Linked DNA regions of Caenorhabditis elegans. The protein of the gene in region 1 purifies or fractionates together with the protein of each later gene. This does not show direct contact. Each region holds a gene or a part of one and is shown on either strand. Other genes may lie near its edges.

What was found.
Region 2: the proteins of F22E5.8 (region 1) and Y47G6A.15 fractionate together in Caenorhabditis elegans (co-fractionation; one large-scale study listed by BioGRID). This does not show direct contact.

The regions. Positions count from the first base shown.
Region 1 is NC_003280.10:2,637,959-2,642,009, forward strand, and holds F22E5.8 (BTB domain-containing protein), read left to right. Parts: upstream 1-2,079; 5' UTR 2,080-2,122; coding exon 2,123-2,233; intron 2,234-2,281; coding exon 2,282-2,551; intron 2,552-3,015; coding exon 3,016-3,127; intron 3,128-3,178; coding exon 3,179-3,384; 3' UTR 3,385-3,450; downstream 3,451-4,051. Other genes in the region: F22E5.9 (uncharacterized protein), read left to right, coding at 444-545, 601-877, 934-1,034; F22E5.23 (uncharacterized protein), read left to right, coding at 3,540-3,557, 3,604-3,724, 3,776-3,936.
Region 2 is NC_003279.8:3,472,340-3,478,293, forward strand, and holds Y47G6A.15 (DUF148 domain-containing protein), read right to left. Parts: upstream 3,962-5,954; 5' UTR 3,953-3,961; coding exon 3,813-3,952; intron 2,085-3,812; coding exon 2,018-2,084; intron 1,969-2,017; coding exon 1,459-1,968; intron 856-1,458; coding exon 736-855; 3' UTR 626-735; downstream 1-625. Other genes in the region: AFG3-like protein spg-7, read left to right, coding at 105-213, 4,179-4,298, 5,317-5,610.

The sequences.
Region 1 (4,051 bases):
TGACACCGCGTGAAAATAGTAAATGAAACGGCGGGAAATTCGAAATTTTGAGTACCTCCTTAACATTTTTATGTTTGAAAACCCTCATGTTTTCAAATTTTATTTTAAATTTAAATTGTTTAAAAAAGCTATTTTTCTCTTAAAATTCAAAATTTTTGTGAAAATTCTTCAAAAATTCCAGATTTCACAGGTTTTTTTTATTCATTCAACATTTTTTGCTGAATTATAACTGAAAAAATAGAAAAACCAACGAAAAAAACTGATATTTATTTGAAATTTAAAGCTTCCCGCGGTTTTTATTGTATGATGTGCGGTGGAGCGCGTTTGCTTATTTTTGCTTATTTTCATTTATTTAAGGTTTATTTTCTCCATTTTTTTTTTCACTTTTCTTGCGATTTTTCTTCTTTTTTCTTTATTAATAATTTAAAATTTCAGACCACAAAATGTCAGCGAAAATTATGTGGAAAAAGTGCTACGACTCAATAAAAACAGTGGCAAAAACAGTTCCGAGCGCAGAAGATTCGATGAAAGGCGTGAAAAATGCGGTATTTATTTGGTTTTCACTTAAAAGTTTTGTAAATATTTAAAAATTAATTTCAGGCTTCCAAAATGCGCGCCGGTGTCGATGAAATTGTGGAAAAACGAAAATTATACGCGGAATCTGAGACTGCAAAACTCAAAAAATCACTGAAAGATCTATCGAAGGAAAATTCCGATTTAAAAATGCAAAACCTGAATCTTTCCGCCGAAAATTCAGATTTAAAATCCAGAGGATGGCTGAGCATATTTAAATCGCCAAAAACCGAGCCAGAATCCCGAAAATCGTCGAAAAAATGGGCTCTGGCGAAGAAGATGCCACAAATTTTCACAATTTTTGGTAAATATTAATTTTTTATCGATTTTTATATTTAAAAAAACCCTCAACATTTCCAGCAACCGCCACCTACCTTGCCAAAACCGTCAGAAAAGTCGTCTTCATCACTCCTTTCATCGCCATCGCCGCAATCTACACGAAATTCAAGAAATTTTTCTAGATAATTTATATAATCTATAATGAACGTGTCAAAAATTTGTAATAAATTACGAGTAACTCCTTTTTTTGCATTAAAAATGCAACAGAAATTGGTTTAATAAATAATTTCATTTTTCACCGGATTCTGTGTATTTTACTTCTTGGAAGGACTCAAGTGCGCCCTAATGAACTGCTATATTACGTAAACTCGAAATTCTGAGAATGCGTACTGCACAACATATTTGACGCGCAAAATATCTCGCAGCGAAAACTACAGTAATTCTTTGAATAACTACTGTAGCGCTTATGTCGATTTACGAACTCAATTTTCTAAATGAATTAAAATCAATATTTTACCGGTAAAATATTGAAAAAAAAAAAACAAAAAAAAAAATGTAAAGAAAAAATCGAGCCCGTAAATCGACACAATCGCTACAGTAGTCATTTAGAGAATTACTGTAATTTTCGCTACGAGATATTTTGCGCGTCAAATATGTTGTGCAGTACTCATTCTCAGATTTTAGTGTTCTTGTAATAAAAAAATATTTTCCTAGGCTTAGGGGTTTAGGCTTAGGTTTAGGCTTAAGCTTAGGCTTAGGATTAGTTTTAGATTTAGGCTTAGGTTTAGGCTTAGGCTTTCGTGTAGGATTAGGCTTAGGCTTAGACTTATGTTTTGGCATAAGTTTGGGCTTAGGCGCAGGATTAGGACTAGCCTTAGATCTAGGTTTAGGCCTAGGCTTAGGCTTAGGCTTTGGCTCAGGCTTGGCGTCAGTGGGAGAGCGGGAGCTCCCCCACTGACGCTATTTAGGGTTAGGATTACAGCGTTTTTTTTCATTTTTCAAAGGGTTCCCGTTGGCCGATCAAAGCGAAATTTAACACAGAGACGTATAGGCCACTAAGAAGCTTCCGTGTAAAATTTCAAATTAATTCCATCAAAACTCGCCGAGTTATGGAGCTTAAGGTGTTTTCAAAATGACCCTCAACTATTTTTTAAAATTTGAAAGTTTGGCGTTTTGTCAGTTTTCTCCCTAAGCTCACGATAATCTTATAACTGATAACAAACTGTTACTCCATTTTTTCTCTCTTTCTCTTCTCGAAAACTCTTCGAAAATGAGTGAAACTGTACAACTGGACGTTGGTGGAACTATATTCAAAACTTCAAAATCTACATTAACAAAGTTCAATGGATTTTTAAAAATTATGCTGGAGAGTGACATTGGGGTTTGATTTTCCTGATTTTTTTTTCCCGTTGAACTTTCAAATTTTCAGCTAAAAATCGACGAATCTGGGAGTATTTTTATTGATCGTTCCCCGAAACATTTTGACTTGATACTGAACTTCATGCGAGATGGTGACGTGGTTCTACCCAGTTGTGAACTCACAGTGAAGGAGCTGCTAGCAGAAGCTCAATTCTATTTGCTCGATGAACTAATTGAGTTGTGTAGTTTAAAGATTGAGCCTGTTCAAGCTCCAAAGATAAAACTTCGGTTTATTGAAAATGATTCACAGCTGCTTCAAATTCTTGCTGCTCAACAGAAGGTGAGTTTCGATAAAATAATGTAGTTTTCAAATTCATAGGACAAGCTCAGTTGGTAGTGGTGGCCGCTAGAAAGCTCGAGGTTGCGGGTTCAAGCCCGGCTTCACCCCCTTAGTTCACTCAACCTCTATTTGGAAGTGGAGCAATCCACGACTAGACTATAGGCCACAGTCCCAGGCTAGGTGGCTTAAATTATATCCCAACGGGGGCACCACCAGGCAGTGTACCTGATTCCACCTAAATGATACCTTGGAAATGGCTTAAATTAAAGCCCAGTGGAAGCTGTACTCCCAGGCCTATAGTGAAGAGCGTTCGTCAATTATAAAATATTTGATCAGTTTCGATGTTCAGTTCTGGAAATTCGATGTTCAGTTCTGGAAATAGTTCTGGAAATTAGTTTCTGGAAATTAAAAATGTTCAGTTCTGGAAATTACGTAAGCCGTCTCTAATTTCAACATTTTTACAGCCAATGCTCATAATTGAATACTGTATGGTCGGGAATGATATGTCGATTCCTTATAATTTTAATCTTTACGAGTTCATAGAAAAGCAGTCACACCAGTTTGATATTTATTTTCGTAAGTTGCACAGTTTTGCACTGATTGAAGTTAAAAAATAGAGTAATTAAGAGCGATTGAGTGAAGACGAATCTTCTCACAAATGGAAAGCTAGGATAAAGTGGAAACCTACTGAGAATGGGTATTATAGTCAATTTCCCTACAATCTTCGAATTAATCGAGGTGGACGGATAATACGGGATGCAGTTTTTTTGGAACGATTGGAAAAAATGATCGGGGAGTTTGATGAGTTTTTGAAGAAGCAGAGGAATAGATGATTAACTCCTTTTGTGGGTTTTTGGCGATATTTCTAATTCAGAAGTTAAAAAAAATTGTATTTTAGTAAGCTTGTTTTCAATTTTTAAACACAAAACATATAGATAATTTCAAAGTCTCAGTGATAACAGAAATTCCTATTTTTATTTTTTTCATCATGGCTGTCCAGCAAAAAGTGAGTTAGAATGTACTTATTGCTTTTCCTTTTTAAAGTTTTTCAGCCATTGCTCATTATTGGATATGTGCATGATACCGATAGACTGCATAGTATGTCCCTTCCAAAAAATTTCAATGTGCGTGCCTTCATTGATACGCATTCCAATCAGTTCGAGATTTATTTCAGTGAGCACATTTAGTAAATGTTTTTTTGTTGAAATGTTTGATTATTTAAAGAGGAACATAAAAATCATAAGTTTTGGACTGCAACGATAATGACGGAACATAATGGGCATCAACAAAATTTTGAGCTTCCGCCGCCAATATTTGACTGGGGACAAACTTCATCTTTTTTGCTCGGGTTGGAAAAGATGATCGAACAGTATAACAGCCGTTAGAAAAACAATTAAAATTGTTGCTTTTCTTTCATTTTTGTTTCTTGAATAAAAAATGCACATTTCAGTCCTACTTTTATCATTCCATTTTCAGTTTTTTCAATAAAAATGTTATCAG
Region 2 (5,954 bases), on another chromosome or scaffold:
TTTTTCGATTTTGCGATTTTTTACCAAAAAAAGAGCCAAATTTTGTTGGCAAAAGAAAACCTTTAATTTTTCGATATTTTTCAAAATTTTTAAAAATTTTTCAGAATGTGCATGACACTCGGAGGTCGCGTCGCCGAGGAGATCTTCTTCGGACGAATCACAACTGGAGCACAAGATGATCTACAGAAAGTTACACAAATGGCATATTCACAGGTTTGGTTTATTTTATTTTACAGCTTTATTGAGACGGAGCAAAAGTTGCAAAAAGTATTCGAATTTAATCTAAAACCGGCGATTTCTTGTCGAGAGCCTCTGTCAATCCTTCACAAATCGTCGACGCAATGCCAGTGTCCGGATCCACGTTGCATGTGCATTTGACTGGAGCCGAGCCGCTGAGAGCCGTGAAAATAATCAGAATTTGGAGAAGAAGAAGAAGAAGAATCAGTTGAAATTTCATGATTGAATGGATGGGGGAATGTTTGACTGAAGAGCTCTGAGAGAGCAGCTTTATCTGACATATGAAGTCGATTATGTTTTTGTTTCGGCGGGAGGAGAGCCAAGGAGAAATAGTGTGTGAAAAATGGAGAGTTCAGGCAAATACCAGAAGACATGTGTGAGCTGCTTTCCCGATTGAAACCATTTATTTAGAAGAAAACAGAAAAAGAATAAGATGAAAAGAATAGGACAAATAAATTAGATTGAAAAACAAAGAATGTAGGCACTCGAATAAATAGCTTAATGACGCTGAAGCAGGTTGAGCAGATGCTGTGGAGTTACGTATTGTCCACCACCACGACCATTATTTGGCGAGCCATTTCCGAATTGGATGCTTCCTTGGTCGCCGTTGGTATTTGGCTGAAATTTGAGATTTTCGGATACTAGATTCCGTGGAAATAGATTTCCCGAAAGACCCCGCCCATTTATTGACTTTTTCGGGGTTTTTTCGCTACAAAACTAGGTATTTTTAAGGAGGAACAGTTGGAAGGAAGCAATTTTGGCAGAAAATAGGCGAAAATTTGGTTTTTCGGAGATTTCATTCCGTGGAAATAGATTTCCCAAGAGACCCCGCCCATTTATTGGCCTTTTCGAAATGTTTTCGTTTCAATTTTGAAAAACGGGCAAATTTGTTGGCCAAAAATGTACAAGAAGGCATTTAAAAGAGAAATCTCAAAAACGATACTTATGACTCCTTGGAAGCAAATCCACCAAGAGGCCCCGCCCATTTATTGGTATCTAGCATTTTCATCTCGAACTGAATTTGTTTCAAAAAATGGCCGGAGCTCTTTAAAAAACATGTAAAGAGAAATCTTCAAAACGAATCAGACTCCGCCCATTTAATGGCTATTTCTAGAATTTTTTCGCTACAAAATTTTGTATACAAAACTGTGTGGAGATTGTGACCTTTTGAGGAAAAAAAACGCGAAAATTGCAATTTTTCAAATAGTAAAATGCACTCACCACAAAAATGACGTCAACTCTGTCCAATCCTTGATTAGTATTTGATGCTCTTGGCTGATTCTGCTGATTCGACACAAACGGATAACCATCTTGTGTTGTGGTTGTCGTCTGTCCATTTCTCTGATTATTGCATTCATCCAGGCGGTTTCGGAGACTTCTCATTTCGTTTGTCGTCTGTGCAGCAGCGTTTCGCAATTCATCCACAAGGGCTTTGTTTGCCCTATTGGCGTTCTTTTCCTTTTCAAGTTCATCACGAGCATCTTTGGCGTCATCTTCTGCTCTTTTCTGACGTCTGTTGGCTGTCTCAACTTCGTCCTTTGCTCTATCAAGATTCGCGTCCGAGGATGTTAGTTTAGCCTCCAATCTCATCACGTTTAAATCGAGTTTCAGAACTTGATTTTGACTCTTCACAAGTTCTGCAGACTGGCTATCGAAATTACGTTTCAAACTGACCATTTCTGCTTCTAATTGTCTTTTTTCCGCTTCGAGCTCATCTGCTTTGTCAACCTCCTGAAAAAAGGTGTCCTAATTTTTTCGAGGTGATTTGAGATTACCGCACCTTTTTAAACTTTTCCACCAGCCTATTATACTGGGCTCCTGTGTATGTCTGTTGTGCGTTTGGACCGCTGTAAAAAGGTGGAAATTAAGAAAATTATCGTGAATAGATGCACCGAACTTTTCTGCTTTACCATGAATGTCTTAAAATCACTCAAAAAATCACTTTTTGCTTAAAATTTGCCTTTTTCCTTATGGGGTTATTCAAGTAGTGTCGGAAAATTAAAAAGTGTAGAAAAATTACGTCACAACCTTATTCAAGTATATAAAAAACATGTATTTAAATACATTTTTGACGTCACAAATGTATTTTAATACATTTTGCTACATTACTTGAATAACCCCATTAAATTTTTGGGAATTTTTGGAGAATATTATTTTATTCATCCCTTTAAAAATTTTCTGAATCAATTTCGATTAAAAAAAAATTTTTTAAGCAAAATGCCGATTTTCTGAAAAAAAAACGTTTTTTTCGGAAAATTTTTTTTTTTAAGTATCGATCCTAACCAGATGTGCCGCCGAAAAAATTTTCCATTTTTCCATTTTTTTATTGAAAAAGTGCAAAAAGCCAAAAAAAGTCCTACATACCATGAAAAAATTCCAAAACGTTGATTTTCTTGATTGTTATGAGCTAAAACTCGTATAGTTTAGGGTATTTTTTACTGTTTTGAGCTTTTGAAAAAAAACAACTTTTTTTTTCTAAATATTTAAAATGTGTTTTTTGGCATTAAAAAAATAATAACCTGGCCGAAGCTGCACGTGGTGCCAGGCTGTCCCATTACGACTTGATCTACAAGAAATGCGGGAATTTTTCTCCCAGATAAATGTGACGTCAGCACAGTCTTAGCCATGCGAAATCAGTTAAGAACTCTGCGTCTCTTCTCCCGCAATTCTCGTAGATCAAAACGAAATTGGTGAAGATGTACAGCTGAATTTCTCGGAGCAGTCATCAGTAACAAGGGTGTCATTTTTCGATCTTTTCGATTTTTCGGTGAAATTCGAAAAATCGAAAAATTGGAAACCGAAAAACGAAAATTTTCGATTTTTCGATTCTCTGGTAAATCGAAAAATCGAAAAAAATGTTCCAAAAATTAACCATAAAATATGATTTTTTATCTAATTTTGCTTATATTGATAAGAAAAAACCTTGAAATTTCTTCTAAACCCAAAATATTAAGCTAATTTTTGAAAAATCGAAAAAAAAACTTTTCCGATTTTTCGATTTTCTGAAAAAAATCGAAAAGTCGACACCAGGGGTGGGCATTCTTGATTGATTGATTTCTTGACATTTTGTCAAGAATCCCTCCTCAAGAAATTTTTAATTCGAAATTTAGGCTGAATTATTTTCCAATTTTTGTAATTTTCAGAATAAAATAACTCAAAAAACATCATAAAACCCGATTTCAGTTGAAAGAATGAGGATTGCAGAAAGAAATTCAAAAAGATTGACAACATCTTTATCGAAAAATGAATAATTTTGCACGTTTTGTCAATTTTTGAAGTTCCTTCTGTTGATATTCGTTTAAAAAAAAGTTAAGACTGAAAAATTGAACTATTTCTTTCAATTTCGTTCAAAAATATTAGCCGAATGAAATTTCTTGATTTTTCTTGATTTCTTGATTTTTTCTTGACATTTAAAATCAAGAATTCTCGATTGATTGATTTCTTGACTTTGAAAAAGTTTTCCCACCCTTGATCAGTAACACTCTTTTATCGAAAAAAATTACTAATTACTATGCCATATCAAAATCCGAGATTTAATTTAAAGATTTATCCCTTGTAAGTCAGAAAAACCTCACCCTCCTTGAAGATTGTGCAGTGAATTCATAATACTGGCCAATTGAGTTGATGTAGATGCTCCTAGAACGGCATTCTTCGAATCATTTGTAGCATCAGAGGAGACGCAGGCAGCGATGAGAATAAGAAGTATGATCTTCATAGTTTGTTGAGATGGTTGATATTAGAACGTTCGTCGGGATTCCTTATATAGTAAGATTCGGTACCAGGCAGTGTGCGGGAAGAGAATGAGTCAGTCAGTGGTGTCGGGCAGTGTGAAATTACGGATGTATCATTATTATTATTATTATTATTCATACTACTATTGTAGTATACATTACATTGCACAATTGCTGCACACAATAATACAAAGACCTTTTTCCTTGCAGGTCGTCAAGTTTGGAATGAGCGAAAAGGTCGGACCGTTGTCGTTTGAGACACCAGCTCCGGGAGAAATGGCATTTGATAAACCGTACTCGGAGGCCACCGCACAGCTCATTGATCAGGAGGTAGGATTTTGGTAGAAAATTAGTTTTTTTCTACGAAAAAATTGGAAAAAATCGAAGAAAAATGATATTTTCTGATAGTTTTCAGAAAAATGGCAATATTTTGAAAATTTTAATTCAAAATTAATTTATAATCTGTGGGCGGACTTGCCGATTTACCGGAAATTTTTAATTCCGGCAATTTGCCTATTTGCCGGAAATTTAATTTCCGGTAATCTGTCGATTTGCCGGAAATTTTAATTTTCAGCAGTTTGCCAATTTTCCGGAAATTGTCAATTCCGGCAATTTTCCGGTTTGCCGGAAATTTTCAATTCCGGTAAATTGCCGATTTGCCGGAAATGTTCAATTCCGGCAATTTGCCGTTTGGCAAAAATTTTAAATTCCGGCAATTTGCCAGTTTTCTGGAAATTTTCAATTCCGGTAATTTGCCGATTTGCCGGAAATTATAGTGTTCAGCAATTTGCCGATTTGCCGGAAATTTTAGATTCCGGTAATTTGCCGATTTGCCGGAAATTTTCAATTCCGGCAATTTGCCGATTTGCCGGAAATTTTCAATTCCGTCAATTTGCCAATTTGCCAAATTGCCGGAAATTCTCAATTCCGACAATTTGCCAATTTGCCGGAAATTTTAACTTCCAGAAAATTGCTGATTTGCCGGAAAAAATCGTTTGCGCGAAAATTTGACTTTAACCGAAAAATCCAATTTAAAAAATCACCCAAAACTATATTCGATTAAAAAATACAAAATTTTCAAAATTGCCGGAATAAATTTTTCAAAAATTCAATTCATTTTTAGTTGCTAGAGAAAAACTACAGTTTTTAAATTTCTCAAAAAATGATGCGTTCAAATAAAATTTCAAAATTTTCTGGTCCTGGAAAATGTTTTTTCTGAAAAATGTTTTTAAAATTCATGAAAACACTAATTTCAAAAAATTTTCTAGAACGTTTTTTTTTTGGCGTTTCGAAATGTAGAAAAAAAAATGTAGAAAATTTAGAATATTAAAAATTTTAACATTTCCAGGTCCGAGATCTCGTAATGAACGCACTTCGCCGAACCCGTGATCTATTATTGGAAAAGAGAAGTGATATTGAACGAGTCGCATTGAGACTTCTTGAAAAAGAGATTCTTAATCGTGAAGATATGATTGAACTTGTTGGAAAAAGACCATTTGTTGAGAAGAATACGTACGAGGAAATGGTCTCAGGTACCGGAGGACTCGATGAAAATGTTGAACTTCCGAAAGGTCTCGAAAATTGGAATAAGGAGAGTGAGAAGAAGAAGAAGGACGAGGAAAAGAAGAAAAATGATGAATAATTTGTGAAATTTTATTTTTGAAATTCTGGCGAAAAAATGGGGAAATTGCACATGTTTTGCTCTTTTTTCTGAAGTTTCAAATTTTTTCTCTCAATTTTTGAAAAAATAGACTTTTCTAAACTTTGAATAGCTTTGTCGCAGTAAAAAAAATGATTTTTCAATGTGAAAATGTGAAATTTTTGACTACATGGAGCATTTTCTGTGACAAAGTGCATAAAAATTTAGAAAATCCAATTAAAAAAATAATAAAATGCCAGAAAAAAAACCAAATTTCACTAATATTTTTTTTCTGATTTTTTTCTGTGCGACCGGATCTCTTCGAATTTCTTTTTTTTTTCTAGACT